2 linked regions of the Mus musculus genome follow. The protein of the gene in region 1 purifies or fractionates together with the protein of each later gene. This does not show direct contact. Links are inferred from orthologs where the notes say so. Each region holds a gene or a part of one and is shown in the gene's direction. Other genes may lie near its edges.

Evidence for each region.
Region 2: the proteins of Wipf1 (region 1) and Nck1 purify together in Homo sapiens (co-immunoprecipitation; 5 studies listed by BioGRID and IntAct, with this or other methods). This does not show direct contact. The link is inferred for Mus musculus from reciprocal best matches to the Homo sapiens genes WIPF1 and NCK1.

The regions. Positions count from the first base shown.
Region 1 is NC_000068.7:73,524,670-73,534,223, reverse strand, and holds the start of Wipf1 (WAS/WASL-interacting protein family member 1), read left to right. Parts: upstream 1-4,736; 5' UTR 4,737-4,897; intron 4,898-9,554. UniProt on the Homo sapiens protein: Plays a role in the reorganization of the actin cytoskeleton. Contributes with NCK1 and GRB2 in the recruitment and activation of WASL.
Region 2 is NC_000075.6:100,540,858-100,550,455, reverse strand, and holds the start of Nck1 (cytoplasmic protein NCK1), read left to right. Parts: upstream 1-4,321; 5' UTR 4,322-4,351; coding exon of another isoform or gene 4,352-4,999; intron 5,000-9,598. Other genes in the region: Gm46139 (synapsin-1-like), read right to left, coding at 4,352-4,999. UniProt on the Homo sapiens protein: Adapter protein which associates with tyrosine-phosphorylated growth factor receptors, such as KDR and PDGFRB, or their cellular substrates. Maintains low levels of EIF2S1 phosphorylation by promoting its dephosphorylation by PP1.

The DNA.
Region 1 (9,554 bases):
TAGGAGCAGAAGAGCTCGTATCACAGTTGCCAGGGGTTACAGAAAGAATGCCACGGGAGCTGGCTGGTTTGCTTTCACTTTCACCTTTTATCTACCCAGCTGCCAGCCTAGGGGATGGTGCCGCCCTCATTCAGGCAGGTCTGTCCCTGTAGGTTAATTCTCTTCGAAAATCTCCTCATAGACATACCTAGAAGTGTGCCCGACTAGTCATTTACACATTTCTCAATTTCAACAAATTGACTATCAAGAGTGATGTCTTCAGCCAATAGCCAGTAATCTTATAAACAGTGGTGCAGGCATCTTGAAAATGAACCCTTCTCCAGATACGCCTCCAGATGACTGCAGCAGCCCTGGTCAGCTTCTTTGACTTCAATCCTGTCAGAGATTATCAGCTAAAACTACCCAGTTGAACTATACCACATTCCTAATCCATAAAAACTATGATACAATAAATGCTTTTTGAGTCACAACTTTTTACAGTATTTTGTTACCTAGCAATGGCTAATTAATTAATGCCGTTGAGCTCACCATTAGAGATACAGACAGGAGCTAAAGCGTGTCCAGCTGTTCCAGGTCACACAGGAAATTAGAGCTCCAAGGTTGGAGATAAGGAGCCAGACCTAGTACCAACGCATTCAACTATCATACGTAAGGCCTTGCATGAAACAATGGATGGGTGGAATTTGTTTATAAAATATGTTATTATTATTTAAAAGATCTAAATTCTTAGATACTGTTGTAAATATTCATTGATACCAACAGTTTGGGGAGAAATTGTCAGTATCAATCAAAAGGCACAAATCTTTACCAGCTTAGCAGGTAAAGATGCTCACCACCAAGCTTGACAACCTGAGTGCCACCCCAGGATGCACATCAGGGAAGGAGAGCACCCGCTGCTGCAGGCTGTCCGACTTCCACATGCAGGTCGTGGGATGCACACACTTCCTCTCATGCTCATAAAGCAGTAAATAAGGGGGCTGGGGAGGTGGCTCAGCGGTTAAGAGCACTGACTCCTCTTCCAAAGGTCCTGAGTTCAAATCCCAGCAACCACATGGTGGCTCACAACCATCTGTAATGGGGTCCGATGTTCTCTTCTTACTAGAAGACAGCTATGATGTATTCATATATATAAATAATATAAATAAATGTTTTTTAAAAAGAAGTCAATAAAATGTGCTAAATATTTTTGGAAAAAAAAAGGAGAAGGTACAGATCTTTCCCACTTGTCTCATAGATGCTGTTTTTATAAGTTATGGCATTGCTCTCTATACATTTGATTACTAGTTAGAGAATTCCACGGCACATAAGCGCTTACGATTATCAATGGTTATTGTGTACAAAGCAGGAAAACAACTGAAAGCAATATAAATGTCCACTGTTAGAGAATTTGGCTGGATTGTGGTACATAATACAGTTAAAAATATGTAGTTAAAAAAAAAGAACAAATTAGATTTGTTGAGTCTTAAGAGGAATGGAAAGATAAACTTTCATACCCATGCGACTTCTATCCCTAGAGTTTCCACCAGTTATTCAAACTGGCCCTAATCTAGAAGCTGCAGTGAAGGGATGCCACAGATGTAATTAAGCCTGAGTTTAAGAGAGGGGGTCAGCTTCAGTGGGATTAAATGGGTAGGTCTTATCCTGGCATCCATACATGAATGTAAGAAGTCTGCAAACGGAGAGTCTTTGTTCCTGGATGTGAGGACTGTGCTGGCTTCCGAGTGCAAAGAGCAACCTTGAAGCTGGCAGCTAGGAAGGAAAGGGGCGCCTCAGCCCCATCTCAGTCAGGAGCTTAGTTTTGCCAGTGACCAGAATGAGCCTGGAGTGGACCTTCCCTCAGTGCCTCTAGTCAAGAGCCCAGCCTCTCATCAGAAGTCATATGGTGCTCACTTACAGAGAGCCCTGAAGTAATAAATGGATGTGGTTTTGAGCTGGTAAATTTATGATAATTTCATATAGCAGCAGATAACCAATGCAATAGATTATTTTATCAGGAAACGTGATCCTATTCAGCTCTTTCAATAAACATTTGTTGAGTGAGTGTGTATGTGTGTGTGTGAGTGTGTGTGTGTGTGTGTGTATGTGCGCGCGTGTGTGTGTGTTTGTGAGTGAGTGTGTGCATGTGCTTGTGCGTGTGTGTGTGTGTGTGTGTGTGTAGGTGGGGAATCAAGCCCAGGACCTTGTGCATCTTAGCCAAACACTCTACCACTGACTTACCCCATCATTCCTATTTGTTGTGTAACAAAATATCACAGAAAAAGCATGGAAAATCACAAGTGGCTGCTTCTAGATGGGATTGTAGGTGGCTTTCACTTTCTGTTTTTATGCCTATCAACTAGGTGAATTGTTTAGAATAAGTACATATTTTTGGGAAAGAAAAAAAATGGAGCAAAAATATTTGGTGAATATGTTATCCCAGAGGTCTAAATATTACCATGTTCAGTTCTGCCTCAAGGCTTTTTAAAAATTCTTTTTGGAATAAAGTGCAATGTCAGTAAGTAAAATAATCACCTCTCAGGAGTACTGTCCTTTCCGTTTTGGATATGTCTATTAAATATGCTAAGCACTCGTGCGGCTCAGACACCGCCCTCCCCAGCACATCCTGGTCCTCTGCTGCTTCCCTTGGCCAAGTTTAGAGCTCCATTCATCTGGCACTCCACATCCTTCCTGCATGAACCCAGAAGACAGAACCTAACCTAGCACAGAGCCTTTAACCAGATCTGCTTGGACACCAACACTTCTTTACTAAAGCTTGTAACACTGTCTTTCTTTCCTGGCTTAGCATTCGGGGATCTTAATTCAGGTCACTCCTGAAAGTAGCAGCTCAGAGGTGGAACAAACAGGAAATCAAGTTGAGAGACTTATGGCTTGGTGGTTGGATCGAGGTATTAACACCATAATGATCTGAATTTAGAAATTCATATGCTAAGAGATCTTGAGCAGGTCAGCCAGGCTTTGGAGGGCACTGTTCAGTGTGTACAATAGAGACAGATGCCTATTTCACAGAGGTTCCTGTGAGAACTCAATGAGGCAGGTAAGCTCCCTTATCTGGTGTTTGAGACTGCCATCTATTCAGGAGAAGGTAACCAAAATAAAGTCCTGGTTATAAGGGGGTGGGAGGTCCAAAGGCACTGGATTAGGAGTTAGAGTGGCTCCCAAGATGGGAGTCATGAAACAAGAAGCAGAATAGGTTCAGAGCGCCTCTGTCTACAATAGAAAGACCAAATGTCAGCAGAAACCATCTCGAGCTGAACGTGTACTTAATGTCCCTGGCTGCTCCCACTGCTTAGCAACCCGGCGGCACAATGCAGCATAGTATGGATTGTTTACCCTCCTCATGGATTCCCTGTGTTGTCAAGCAACAAGAAGGAATATTTACCACACACTGCTAACCCAGGAAAAGATCCAAACTCAATGCGCCAGAACTGGAGAAAATGGTTCAGCGGTTAAGAGCACTTGCTGCTCTTAACAGAGGACACTTAGATTCCCAGCATCTACGTGGTAGCTCCCAACCGTCTGTAATTCCATTATCAGGGCATCCCACACCTTCTTATGGCCTCTGTGGCACCAGGCAAGCACATGATACAGATAGATATATTTGCAGGCAAACCACTTGTACACATTAAATAAATACATACATAAAAGGCAAATATAGCATAGACCTTAGACGAATACAGTTAACAGTGGGAGTTTGTAACCATCCTGGAATTCATGGTGAGACCTAAAAATAACAAAAACAAAACAAAAAGGAAAGAGTGCATTTAGAGACTCCTACCAAAAAAAAAAAAAAAACAAACAAACAAACAAAAAAAAAAACAAAAAAAAACGCTAATAAGAGTTTAGGAGAGGTGGCCCTGTCGCTGTCTTTCCAGGATTATCGTATCCGCCAGAAGCATGTCACAGAGACTGCACACATAGGGACAACTCAGCACAGAAAGCCTGAAGCCGAGGCATTCTAGATGCCACATTCTGAGGTGCATCTTTCAAAGCTTCCCTGCCTTTACCCAGAGAGCTACGTCGTCTCGGTAGCTTTACTATCCGGTCCAGTAGTTATACTGACCATAACTGTCTTTGTCTTTCAAATGTATATGTTCTAATGTGTCATCCCAGTGTTAACTTGCCTTTAAGGCCTGATAGTGGTGTTTTTGAGAACTGGCAAGAGCCATGTGAAAGGGCCTCGGGTTTCTCCTTATACTCGCTCGGCTCTTGATCTTTCTATGTTTGCAGAAGTCGGTGGAAAAAAAAAAAAAAAAGATTCCAAGAATCCCAACCGATAGGCACCTTACCCTGGGAAGAGCTGTGCGCTCCCAGTGGGCGGGGATTGGGGACGCGCGTGGCCCTTGGGCTTCAGTGGGGCCACTCCATCTTAGAAGCCAGTTTTTACAGTGAATGGAAACTTTTAAGTTTCTCAAAGCGGGGGGCGCCCTCTGATTCGGGAGCGGAGTGGAGATGACCGGAAAAGGCTTTCCCTGTGTTGGGGGGAGAGCACCCCACTCGGAGGCCCGGGTAGTTTCTAGGGACAGCGTCTTGGGTTGGGTATCCCTTCCAGGTCCGGCTCCTGGGCGCACGCAGGTCCGGACCCCTCGGCCTCCGCCCCGGGGAGAGCCCAGCCCAGGCTCCGGTCCCGCCGGCCTCGGAAGTCAGGGCGCGGCGAGGGCGAAGGGCGAAGGGCCAGCGGCTGCCTCGGCGTCCGCGTGTGGCGGGGGCCGTAGGGGGAGGACGCGGGCCGAGGGGGAGGGCGCACATCTCGGCGAAGTTCCCGGATGGTCGCAGCCTCCCGGCGCGGAGCGCTTTTCCTGCCCGCCCCGGCTCAGCCCTGCGGACCCAGAGAGAAGTTTCCCAGAAAAAAATGCCCCGCGCGCCGCGGGGCCGAGGAGCCGCCCGGAGCCGCTGCACGGTAAGGGAGCCGCGCCCCACCATGCAGGGCGCGTCCGGGGTGCACGGAGTTGGGGTGCAGACGGGCGGGTTGTCGGGGCCGCGTCCTCGGCGCCCAGGGGAGCGATCCCCGCTCAGGCCCGCGGTCCAGCCCGCGCGGGAGGAAGGGGCGGCGGCTGCCGGGGCTCGAGATGCCGCGATCCCCGCTGAGCGCTGCGGGGCTGCACCGACCCAGGACCGCCCGTGGACCCGATGGATCTAACCGCGGTCTCCCTGGGATGCCCGGGAACCGCATCTGCAACTCCATCTCCACCGAGGGCGGGTGACTTTGGAGTTTAGGGCTCCCAGAACTTGGCTCCAGTGCTCCCGGGCAGCCTGATCCCGGGTATGGGCGCGCTCTAGGTGCCTATGTCTGCTCCTGAAAGGGCGGCCAGCTCGGGTCAGGGCTTTGCGCCCGGGGCCTCTCCCTAAATCGTGGACCGCTTCCCTTCAGCCTTCATCTCCCGCTACTTTAGCATGCTTTTCTTTTCAAAGAAAGAACAGTGAAACTTAACTAGTGCAAGAGAAATCCAATAGGGATGACCCAGATCCTCGGTTTGTGGCTAGACTTTGAACTCAGATTAACAAAAGGTGTGTCTGTGTGGAACCTGGTTTGACTGGGTCTTGCTTAATCTCCAAGGAATATCCCCGGGCTATAGGCTCCTAACCCCTCAGGGTTTCTACAGTGAGCAGATTTGGTCTCTTTCTCTGAAAATCGCTAGTCTGTCTTGGATCTTCCTTGCCCTTCATCTCTCTGGTTCCTGAGCGGGCCTGCAGGTAGACCCACAGGGACAGCGGACACGTGTGCAGCCTGGGTAGGTTTTCTTTTAACAGCTTCCATATAATTTGAATACTGTATTTTCATTTGATAGATTTTTTTTTGCCTCCTCAAAAAATGCTTATTTCAATAATTGATAAATAACTTAAAAGTTTGTAGATCATGTTTTTGACTTCTTAAAGAGAGAAAGTCTTTCATAAACTATGGGCTCTCTGCTTCTTACAGTGCTCAGGGCACTGCCTTCTACCCTGATTACCTGCCAGTTGCGGTTCACCAGGCTGATCCTCTCAGAGGCATGGGGTGGTGTACACATATGTGTACAGATCGTACACATATCTGTGAGTGCCGGTTGCCGGCTGAAGAGAAGCTGCAGACTGGGTTTTCCAAGTGTTCTGGATCCGCTCAGCGACATCACCGTCTTCCCTGAGTAGCTTTTCTCTTTGGGAATCACATGAGCGCTTTTAGATTACGTGATGGAAAGCAAAGAGATCTGAAAGCAGGGAATGATCAAACTCTGGGATAGAAAGGGAGAATGAACTTATTTGCAGATGGAGGGATTCGCATCTTACTTCCGTTGTCCATTTCACACATTTTCTTCTGTGTGTTTAGCTACTGCCGGATGCCCTTAAACCTACTGTGTGACTCGGTTGACAGTCTTTCCACCGCTGGGTGTGAGGCTAGAACAGGATAACAGGTTATGAGACAGCAAGAAGCAATTTGATACAAAGTAACCAGTCACCAGGCACCGTGTAACAACAAGACACAAGAGCAAAAAGGAACTGCCAGAGAGTTGGTAGGTAGCAAAGAGCAGAATGCCTGTGTCTTTTAAATTGACCGTGCCAAGGTGCTTTGGCCGCCATGAGCCAGGTTTCATGAATGTTCATGATACTCCGTTTTTTCTCACAGTCTTGGATAACTGAATGTGTTCCTAACTATAGCTGTAGTTTTAAAGTTGAGCACTTTCCACGGTGATGCCAAATATTCTTTTATTCCTTTTATACTTTTATTCTAAAGTACACAGGACATTTTTATTTCTTGCTGCAACCTGTTCATTTCTAAGAACCTGGGAATCTAGGTCCCAGAGCTCTGGCCATCCTGGGGCCTGTCCTCCAATGGAGTCTACTAGATTTCTGATGATTTCCGTACGGAGGCCCCACTGAGCTGCCTTCCAGCAACCCACGTAGCCAGGCCACCAGCCCCACACACGCCAATTAGGCTGCAGCTGGAATCAAGCTCATGGCTCTTTGAGCATCGAGGGTCTTTACTGGAAGATGCTGTCATGCTCTCCGCTGGGTAGAGTTAGCTCAGAAGGACTTGTCCTGGATGTTTACCATCACTGTAGACAACCTTGTTTGGAACAGCAGAGCTGGAAGGCAAATGTGGTAAGGTAGGGGAGAACAAGGGGTTCAAGGAGTGGGATTCCTTCCAGCTGCTGGGAGTCGGCCTTTCATTGGCTCCTTCCGTTAGCAATTACTTATCACTGTGTATGTGCTTGCCATGGAGAGATTCGAAGGCGCCTTCACATTCTGTCCCTCTGTCCAGCTTCAGTTGAGAACCACTCCTGGTTTCACTTCCCCGGGACAAAGGACTTCCTCACGGAGCCTCCCTTATACTGCTCAACCCTAACAAATGCAGCTGCTGCCTCCCCCCCTCCTCCCCGTGGGTATTACAGTCAGGTTGAGATCACTAACTGACTCATGGATACATTTGGACAAAGAAACCTCTGAGGATCAGTTAGTTGAGTAGTGTTATCTGCTAACGTGTGGATCAGTGTGGAGTAGGCTGGGTCGTGGTTAGCCATGTGTGACTAGAGGCTTCCAAAGGCTCAATTCTGCGAGTGTGGAGTGAGGGGTGTGAGTCTTGGTTTGGCTTGTTTATAATAGGTAACCTTGGCTGGCCTGAAACCTGCCATATAGACCAGACTGGCCTTGAACTTGGAGCAGTCCTCCTCCTTCTGCCTCTCAGGTCCTGGGATTACATGCATGGGCCTCTGGCTCTAGAGAATTCACATTTGAGAGCCCACAGGTGATGCCAGTGTGCTGAATATAGTTAGTTTCCATGTGGTTACTGCATGGACCACGAAGTCTCCTTAATCTTGTGACTGGTACAAGTACTCTATCTTACAAGGTCTTTTTTTCTTTACCCCTAAAGTGAGATCAACAATCTCTACAAGAGGATTGCTATGAGGGTCATATGTGGTCACATGCACAGTATACTTAGCAGGTTGTATTTAATGGTGCTGTTGGTGTTTGTGGGCCATTATCATTAACATTATTATAATCAGTGTGGACGCAACAAAATAGCCTACATATAGGAGCCGCTTTTAGTATAAATTAACATATAGTCTCTGGGATGCCCATGATCTATCACATGTTTGACATTTACCATGTAGCTCCAAGGAGAAGACTCTTGATGTCTGGGATCTGCAGTGTCTGTCCACCCAGAAGAGCCTACACTGCTGAGGTTTTTAGGGGCAGATTAAGGACAGGGAATGCAGAGACAGCATGCATCACTTTCTTAGCCCCTTGGCACCAGGAAATATTGGTTATCATGACCCTCCATCCATGGGAGTGGAGTTTAACAAGTATATTAGCTGCTTCTCTCAGTCCAAGCAGCTTTGATCTCAGGTGTGTAGCCCAAAGCCCAGTAGCTAGAACACCATTTCTTCTTGTGGCCGGACAGCTCGTGGGACCGCAGCATTACAGCCTGCTGTTAGTCACAGATATTTACTGAGAACACAAAAGCAATAAACTTTGCTACTCAGTGAAAGAACACAGGTGAGGGTAACGAGATGTAACTATCTACAGCTTTTGTATTGTAGTCTTGATTGCTATGACTCACATAAAAATGTCTCTGTTACATTTTAATGTTTACGATAAATGAATTTTTCTCTTTGAGCAAGCCATTTCTTTAGTATAATTCATGTTGCCTTTTGGTTTTGCCCTATCTCTCAGTTATACTAGTGTGCATTTTGCTTTTCTTTTTGGCAGTGCTGAGGTTTGAACCCAGTGATTCAGACATGCTAAGCAAGACTCTATCACTGAGCCAAATTATATTAATTTAAAAAAATTTTAAAAATTATTATTTATTTATTTTTTGTTTGTTTTTCGGGATAGGCCTTGAACTCAGAGGTCAACCTGACTCTGCTGCCTGAGTTCTGGGACTAAAGGCATGTACCACCACCCAGCCCAATTAAATTAAGTGAATGAAATTCTTCAAAGCCTTCAGTGATTTTGGTGGCACACACCTTTAATCCCAGCACTTGGAAGGCAGAGCCAGGCAGATCTCCAAGCTCAAGGACAGCCAGGACTACAAAGAATCTCTGTCTCGAAAAACCAAACAACAACAACAAAAACCATTGGCTATTCTAGAACAGAAAATGTGTTAGGACAAAGTCTGCCGTCATTTAAGCTGGGTGGTGATGGTGTGCCTTTAATCCCAGCACTCAGGAGGCACAGGCAAGTGGAAATCTGTGAGTTCAAGGCCAGTCTGATCTATAGTGTTAGTTCTAGGACAGCCAGAGCTACACAGAGAAACCTTGTTTTTAAAAACAAAACAAAACAACAGCAAAATCAAACGATCCAGAGGCTGGAGAGATGAGTGCCTGCGAGCTGCATGAATGCAGGTGTCCATGGAGACCAGAAGAGCATATTGGATCTCGTGGAACCAGAGATAAAGATGGTGTGAGCCACGGAGTGGGTGCTGAGCATCTCCCAGCTCCTCCCTCCCCACTCCTCTCTCCCTCTTTTCTTCCTTCCTTCTATGACTCCTCTCCCTTCCCTCTTCCTTCCTATAATGTTACCAGTCATATGCCGTTTAGTTGATTCATTGAATATTTGTGCAACTCTGTGAGATTTCTGTT
Region 2 (9,598 bases), on another chromosome or scaffold:
ACGAATAAATAAAAGCAAATAAGTCAACAGGGGGAGATTAGAAGGCAAAAACTGAGCCCCCAGTACTGCAAATAAACAAACACATACACACACACACACACATACTTGACAAAGCAAACAAGTCAATAGATTAGATGGCAGGAGAGGGACTTCCCTCTTTCCACTTGCCTTATCATTTGCTGTTTGACTTGATTTTACCCTTATTTTTGGGATTACTTTTGGCATTATTCTACTTGCACATCATTCCCTGAGCAGTAGAAGAGCCAACCTGAGAGCTTCCTCCTGGAGGTCTGAGCTATATCCCAGCTGGGTCATGCCTTACTGCTCAAGTGCTTTAGTCCAGACTTGATCTCCCTTTTCACTAGCCCTAGGGGTGGTAGCTGATCCACAAAGCAACTTCCTTTGGGTTACCTCAATGTCATCTCTGGCCCCTCCCTGCATTTTATTTTATTTTATTATTTATTTTGTGATCCTCTGAGACAGGGTCTCACTATATACCCATGCTGGCTTTGAACCTGGGGTGATCCTCCCAATAATGGGGTGACAGGCATGAGCCACCAAACCTGGCGTCAGTTTTTTCAGTCCATTAACACATAATCCTAAATTTCCTCCATTGTGGTAAAATGTGATTTCTGTTTTTCTGAATAAAATGTTTCTAAATTATCTCCAAACAAATCCAAATCCATTAGCAAGGTAGCCAGCGTTGGGAAGTGTTGATACTTAAGATTTTCAGGGATTACTAGACATTAGATATCAACAGACATTATGCAAACTGAGCCAGACATAGAGCTATAAGCCTGTAATCTCAGTGTCTTAGAAAGCTGAGGCAGGATGCTCCTAAATTTGAGGCCAGCTTGGGAGATTCAGTAAGACCCTGGGCAGCATATGTCCACATATGTAATCTTGGGTGTAACCTGCTAAGGGTGAGCATAGACATCGTTGGGAACAAGCTAGAGAAACTCATTCTAAGGATTTCATTTTCAGACTCCATTTCATTTTCAGACTCCATTCGACTATACAGAGAAACTAAATTCCAGGTCCCAGGTCCCAGGGGAGCTGGGGATTCCCAGTAGCTGAACAGCTTCTGTCGTAAGGAAACAGTTGCCTGAGTCCAGACATCTCAAGGACAACTTCTCCATCTTGTCGGCAGCGTCAAACAAGTTCCTGTTCCCAGGCCCAGGGACCAACTCCAGTCCTGATGGATGGACACTCCCTTGTTCAATCCTTATGTCAAAGTATGATTGGACAACGGTATGGCCTACCCTGCTCCCCCTTGCTCTATGGCTTAATGTGAATGAAATTTCTTTAATATAAATGTGGCTGTGAATTAATCTGGTGACTGTATTTATTTATGTTATGCTAGTCCCCAGTAACTTCACAGAGAAATCAAGATTTATTTAAAACTACGCCTCATTACCCATAGTTAAGTGATCTATCCTAAACTTCTGCGCTAATGTGGCTACCTCCCAGCCCCATCCCGTGATAATGACCCAGCTCTTCAGACCCCTTCTTCATGGCTCCACTTCCTCCATCCTGCTGCTGATCTGAATCTCCCTCTCTCCCTCTCTCCTTCCTCTGGCTGGTGGGTGCGACTGTCTTTTCTACCCAGCCACTGGGTGATCAGCATTTATTGACAAGGCACAGAATAAGAACTGTTTTACACACAAACCTGAGACAGGAGATTCTTGGTATAAGCATTACAATGCTGTGTCTGGACTGAAACAAGGTATGAGGGCAGAGAAATCAGCATTTGATTAACACAGTGTATAAAAACATTATGCCTACAGTTTTATCCTTTTTAAAAAATTTTTATGCTGTACAATGTCCTTTCAGGGTCATAGTTCAGCTCCTGTCACTGTGGTCTTTAGAAGACGAGTTGGGTTCCTAGCACCCACTCGCAACTAACAACTGTCTGGTATTTCAGTTCCAGAATTTGGTGCCCTCTTCTGGTCTCTGAGGGAACTGCATGTAAGCAAAACCCATCACACATAAAAGAAAGTTGGTTTTTTTTTTTTTTTGAATTGCTACTTGCTTCTCAGTAGAAACAAGAGCTAGAAAACATCAGAATGATCTACTGAAAAAGTACTGAAAAACAACTCTTTAGTGAAACAACTCTTTCTCATTTCTTGTAGGATAAACTCTAAGGACCTCAGCTTTCCTAACACATTGCTTCAAATCTAGCCACTGTCTGCTCCATCAACATTACTATAATTGCTTAATGTCTTTAGACTTGGTAACTCCCTCCCAAGCCCTTCTTTTTGCTCAAATAGTCTTACTACACATTTCCCTCTCATTGTGGCTTAATGCCCATCTGTCCCTACATACAACTGTTGATATGGTTAGCACAGAAATAATACAGGTTGGTTTAAATCTCAATATCTGACACTGGTGTGGACTCAAGATCTGCAGTGCCTATTTTAGCACCTTCCATACAAGGTAGACTCTTTCCTATAACAGCATAACTATACTAAATCCAGAAGTTAAGTTTATTTAGTAGGGCCCACTAATGTTTACACTTCAATATCAAGTCTGTGATAACTTCTTGATAGCAGATAGGTAGGATTTTCTTCCTCCTAAACATTACTGTATGATAGGGACACTAAACTAGGTCATTCTAACTATATAAGCTGTCAATAGCTTACTGGGAAAGGTCTTAAGATATGGAGGATTCTTATTTCCTTTATTACCCCAAATATCCTCCTTTGGAGTTAATGGGGGTCAGCTGCCTGTATGTTTTTGCTTTTGAGATAGCATCTCTCTATGTAGCCTTGACTGTCCTAGGATTTGCTACATAAACCAGGGTGGCCTTGAACTTGCAGAACTTGAACCTGTCTCTGCATATATATATATATATATATATATTTGTCTTTTTGTTTTTTGAGACAGGGTTTCTCTGGGTAGCCCTGGCTGTCCTGGAACTCACACTCAATCTGTAGACCAGGCTGGCCTCGATCCACCTGCTTCTGCATGCATCACCCCCTTCTCTTCGGTATGTATGTTTTTAAATATATAATTTGCATTACTTACTTTTGATACTAACAATAGGCAGAGTATCCTTTCCCCAGTTTTATGTTCTACTTTTCTCAACTAAACTCAGGATTAAAAGGGGCTACAGGTAACTTGTATTTTACCTAGGGCAGGCCACCCATGTATTTATTAACATGCAATTAAGTTAAAAGCAGAAAACAACTTTTTAGGATTTACAGGTAGGGCTTGTAGTATAGCTAAAGGAAGGGGCTGAGATTCAGTGATTAAGAGCGCTGGTCTTCCAAGGGGCCTGAGTTTGATTCCCAGCACCCACAGGGTGGTTCAAAACCATCTGTAACTCCAGTTCCAGAAGATCCTATACCCTCATTTGACCTCCATGGGCAGCAAAATTATACACAAGTATAACACAAGTACACCAAACACTCGAACACACAAAGAATAAAAATGAATTTTTAAAAGATGAAAGGAAGCTGTATTAATTCCTCGATTGTTGAGGATGATGTGCTAGGCACGAGGTGGGCGTGGGTGAAACAGTTCTTTTAATAGACTTTGCAATCTAGGTATATGGGTGCAGCTACGCTGGAGGCAAAAACTCGTGTTTCCATAAAATTACCTAACCTAGAATGTTTCTTTTAGGTGCCACACCCACACTAAGCAACAAAGGTGATTGGGAAATAGTGAGGCAGGTTATGAGTCGCTGTAAGGCAAGTTAGGAAGGAGAGCCGATTTATTGATGCCTTCCTTGGCAGGTGGCTGGGACTGTGCCACTGCCATACTCACCCCTAGGGCAGAAGTAACTGTCCTTTTCACAGGACTGGAAGCCGGGAATGAAGGCTACCCACGCGCCAGGGCACTCGGAAGTTGCTCGCAAAGCTTATTTTGGTTGTGGTTTTCATTAACAAACATCTTACATTTTTCCCCCGAGGCTTCATTTTCTTTGTCGCTCCCTGTCCCTAAGATCTGCAGCTGGTCGGCCCTTTCAGATGCAGGCACCAGAGTAGTCTGGGTTGAACTCGGGACCGCTGTTCGACATTAATGAGCGATTTAAAATGAATGACAGGTTTTAGTAGCAGTGGGAGAGGCGGAAAGTAAGCAGCCACCGAGGAGGCTAGGGGAGAACAGGGCGGTGGGGCCCGGCGCTCCTCACCTTCTGTCCAAAGGCCGCGCAGTCTCAGCTCAGGGACCACTCAGGGCCCGCGCTTGATTGACAAGCCCGCTCGCCCAATCCCGGAGCGGCGCATTCCGCTGAAGCGTCAGGGGCGGGCGCAGGAGGCGATGGAGCCTATTAGATTGGGCGTGGAGCGGGTTTCCTGCCCGCAACGGTCCGCCCACCGGTTGCGCGCGCCCCGCCCCTCTCCGAGAGCTACGCGGCGGCGCAGCACAGGCCTCGTGCGGTAACGGCATCCGGGCAGCCGCGGTGGCGTCCCGGTGCGGTCCTCAGGTGACTGGAGCCGAGGGCTCGGCGGAGGGAAGGTGAGACGGCCTCGCTCGCGTGCGGACACACGCACAGTCCTTTCGGTCTCCCGGTCGGTCCGCTCTGCCTGCTAGTCTCTAGTCGCTTCCTCTTTCCCCGGCGAAGTTGGCCCGGGGGCGCCGTCTGCTGGCGGCGGAGCGGAGCGGAGGGGGCGGGGAGGCCGCTCGGCGGAGCTCGGGTGTCCGCGGTGCAGCCCGGTGACCCCGCGGCCTCTGGCCTGAGCTGCGAGCGCCGGTCGGGGAGGCGGGCAGGCAAGTGTGCGGCGCGCTGCCTCGGCGGTTCTCCGCAGAAAGCCCTGTCGGCGGTCTGTGTCGGTGTCCGAGGCCGGGACGGTAGGCTGGCAGGAAGGGCGCTCTCACCTCCAGCCGCCAGCCTGAGGAAGCCGAGAGGGGGGACATCCTCGGGGCGCGCCCTCCCCTCCCCCTCCCGTTCCGGAGCAGGAGAGATGTGGGTGTCCGGGGGCTGTTGAGGTGGGGTTGGTCCAGGAAAAGCAGTCCTCTGGGTTGGTTTCGTACTGTTGTCGTACGGGTTTCCGTGCTAGGTCGGTTCAGTGTTAACAGCTGGGTTGGAAGGAAGCTGGTTTTTTGTTCAGGGTTGAGGACCGTAACATGACCGGTTAACGTCGAGCCGAGCTGAAGTCACCCGAAGAAAAATACTGCCCTTAGTTAGGAAAGAATTCACAGGAGTTAGGAAAGAACGAGATGAAGAAAACTTCCTGACCCCATCTTGGGTGGGGAGCAGTGAGAATCCAGGGTTCGGCCAAAAAAACGGGTCAAGTTTTGCAAGAAGCGTTCCATTTTCAAAAGCTTTGGTAGCTTGATGATGATCAATCAGCCTTAACGGTTTCTTAAGCACCTGGAAATCAATTGTGTGCTTTCAGCCTTTAGCGACGTCACAACATGAACAGAGAAATAGTCCAAGGAGAAAGTTTTGATTGATCATTTTCAGTCTTGTTTTTAAATAGATATTCTCTTCACATCGTGATAGTTAAGTCAAAGCGTATGCGTTGGTTGATTAGTACTTTTTTTTCATCGTGGCCACATGTGGTGCTTTCTCTGGGAAAACTTCTGTAGGAATTGGCTAGAGTAACTAAAGCGTACATTGTGTTGATGTCTCCGCTGTATGTATGAGCATTATGTTTGAAAAGATTTGCCTCCCCAGCAAGCATTTTAAATTGTTTAGGTTTCCAAGCCCAACAGATCCGTGTATTAATAAGTCGACACGTTAATGTATTGCCTTATTAAACATTGAGTGATAGTTTATGCTGCTGATTTTCTAATTTGAGAACTTCGTTCTAGAGTTCAAGGCTTGTTGTGATTATTATTGTAAATAAATTCCTTCTCAGGAGAACTTGAAAAAAAATGAATTAACTCTGGCAATGTGGAAGAATGGATGCTTTCAATGCCAGAAAATCAAATGATTATTTCACTGTTAAGTAAAATTGGAGGAAACGTGAACTGAGCATTTAACAAATCCAACAGTTTGACGACAATTTGACAGGCCTGCCTGATTCTCACTTTAACCTATCAAGGAAATAGAACTTCAAAGTCTTCCCTTCACAACTGATGCCCCACGCCTCCAAGCTGTCTTTCATTAGCGATACATTAGTAGCATGCTTTCAGGAACCCAGACATAAACCTTAACATTGTACTGTTTTTTTGTAGTTGTTTTCTTTAAAAAAAAAATCTTACCTTTGTATTCTTATATATTGTTTTTCAGTTTCTGAACTACTCAGTAACTCTAACTGGATTTTCTGCCTGGAGGATCTCAAATGTGTTCTGCCTGTGCTGATCTTAAAATAATACTTTGAACATATTTTTCACTGTTTAGACACTAGTAATATCTTTCCTCTAGATTCCAGTCTTTTAAGGGTTTATTTTTATTTTATGTGTTTTGTAGTGTTTTGTACGACATGTGCTGTGGACTCTGGGGACAGAACAGAGATCCTCTGCAAGAGCTCTTAACCACTGAGCCATCTGTCCTAATACAGAAACATTCTCTGCAAACTACTAACTTTGCAAAGGAAAAGTTCGCTAAGCTTTCCTTCTTCCTTAATTTCCTTCCTCCCTTCCCCGCCCTCTCTTCTCTTTCCCTCTCCTGTCTCTTTTGCCTTCCCTCAGTTTTGGGGTGAGACCAATGGCTTCTCATAAACCTTTGAGGTGTATCATCAGTCTAAAGTTCTATTTTTTAAAAAAGTGATTGGTTATTATATTTTCTACACCCAGAGTCAGGACAGCTTGTGAGGGGTCAGTTCTCTGTCCCCCACAGAGGTCCCATGAAGTGAACTCAGGTTTTTAGGCTTGGCTGTAGGTACCTTTAACTACAGAGGCATCTTGACACCCATCCAGAGTTACATTGTTTTACATATTGTTAAACATTTTTAAAAAGTGTGTGCTTGTATGTATGTTGAGGGCATGATATGTGCACAAGAGGCAGGTGCCTGAAAAGGGAGGCCAGGAGAAAGTGTCAGATACTTACAGGGGGTCACAAGCCTCCTGTTGTAGGGAATCAGCCTTGGATCTTTTGCAAGAACCATACTTGAATTTAACTGGAGACATCTTTCCAGTCCCTAGAAATTTAATTGTGATTTGAGTGAAGGTTGTCAAGATTTTCTGTTACCTATGTTAAACTGAGTCTTTGTTTGTTTGTTTCGCACGCCCTCTTTCTTTTTAAGTTAGCGCACAGAGCGGTGTGTTTTGTGATGACATTTGCTTGTGTAGTTATTGCTGTGCTTTTTTCTTAAACATCCTTTCCCCAGCTGACTTTTTTTTTCCCCTTGCTTTTTAATTTTATATGGATTTGTGTCATGATATCATGGAACGTTGTTGAAACACTGGAATCTAGCCTTTTGTTTTCTAGATTGAGAACGTGAAATCCATGCTAAATATCTACTGACATGTCCACATCTTGATGTTGGGGCAGAGCTGAGACTCAAAGTCATCTTATTCAAGTGTCATGTGTTCTTTATGATACCATATTATTACCTTGTGCAATATGTAATTTTCATTTTGTGTTTTCCCCCTAGAGATCCAACACTTTTATTTTGAGGTGGGCTCTCAAATCGTTGCTCTAAATTGTTGCTCAAATTTTGTTCTAATGTGATCTTCCATCTCCTGATTTCAGCCTCCCAGTAGCTGGGATTCCGGGCATATGACCTTTTAATTTGTATTTTTCAGACTCCATATATTAGAAGTGTTAACAAATTCAATTGTCTGTGTAGTTGAGTCCTGTAGCCCCCTAAGAAGTGTAAGATGGTGCTAGGGATGTAGCTCCGTGATGGACAGAGGGAGTTTGGATCCTCAGCACCTAAGAGGAAAGACAGTGAATGGCTGCCTTTCAGGTTTTACTGTTAGAATTTATTTTCCTTGTCTTATTTGGTAAAAAGAATGACTCTTTGGGGGATTTGAAAGGATATTGCAATGGTTTGGTGGGAGCTTGGAGGGTTTATCATGTATCTAAATGTTATGAGTTAACTAAATGTTCTTTTCTGGGTGTTAAAACAGTAACACTTTCACATTTTGTCTGTCAAGAATCAGTTTTGCAGTCTGCTTGTGTTAAACACATTGTAAAAATCACTTTCCATTTTGTAGAGTTAGAGCTTTTTATTTTTTTAACTCTAAAGTTTGTTAATAAAAGCAGTGTTGGGTTGCCTATAATGAGTTCAGTGGTACAAGACAGCACAGAAAACTGCCAGGTAAAGGTTTTCTGAGTCTTTTTGCCTATCCTCCCTTTTTTTGTGTGTGTTAAAAGGTTTCACTGTATAGCCCTGGTTGAGCTGAAACTTACTAGGTAGACCAGGCTGGCCTCAGATTCACAAAACATCCTCCTGTCTCTGCCTCCCAGGTACTGGGTTTGAAGGTGTACTTTACCAGGCCTCACTGAGTGCTTCCTTTTTTGATCTGAAAAAGATTAGAAGCTTTTTTTTTTTTTTTTTTCCAGATATGTTTTGGTTGGTTAGTATGGCTTGTTTTTTTATTTGTTTAAAATAAACTGCCAAATCCTAGAACTCAGACTGAGGCAGGAGAATTACAGGTTTGAGGTTAGCTTGGACTATGTAGTACAGTCTTATCTTAAAACAAAATTACAAGTTAAAAAGTCTTTTTAGCCTGGTATAGTTATAGTGGTGCATACCTTTATTCCCAGTGCCTGGGAGGCAGAGAAGCAGGGTGATTTCTTGTGAGTTAGAGGCTAGCCTTATCTACAAAGCAAGTTCCAGGACAGCCAGAACAAACAAGAGAAACTCCATCTTGAAAAGCAAAAACAAACAGAAAAATTCTGTTGAAAATGCTGATTCTTATTTATTCCTGAAATTATCTTTAGTGATGTGCAAATTATATATAAATATGGTATGGGTGATGTCAGCGTTTCTTGAGATGATTTGAATAAAGTATATCAGTGAGAATGTGTGGAAAATTTGTTTCAGGCTGGTTTTGAACTTACTCTGTAGTTGAGGGTGGTGTTGAACCTCCTGATCTTCTGCCTCCGCGTCCCTTAAGTGGAGGCCGTCTTTGTGTATGCAGTGCTGGATCTTGAACTCAAGGCTTTGTTCTTGCTAGGAAGGCACTCTACCACCTGAGCTATGTCCCTAGATCAGTTTCTGAATCAATTTCTAAATCATGTTGTTGTGTAGATCAACTCAAATAATAGAATAATTTGGCACAATGTGGCATCTTTAAAGCATTCCAGCTCTATTGCAGAAACATAAACAGGGGATTGGAAACATTTCCTTGGGAGAGGCAGAAATTGTGGAAGCTGCTATGGGCTTTCTTTCTATGTCTTACCAATCTTGCTTTTTATTTTTATATCAACTAATATCTGAATAGTTTTATTCCCCCTGCCTACTTTATGGTTCAGAGCACTGGTTGCTCTTCCAGAGAACCTGGGTTCAGTTCCCAGCACAGACAAGGCCATTCACAACTGTCTGTCCCTCTTTTTCCTGAAGATCTGACCTCCTTGGGCACTCCATTATGTATACTTAACATTTTCTCTATCGATAGACATAGGACATTGATTATATGGGTTGGTATTGTGCAATAAAGGTATGAAGAAGTGTGGTCAACAGACCTGTGGTCCCAGTGCTAGGGAGGCTGAAGGTAAGAAGGGCACAATTTTAGGGCAATTGTGTCCTGTATAATA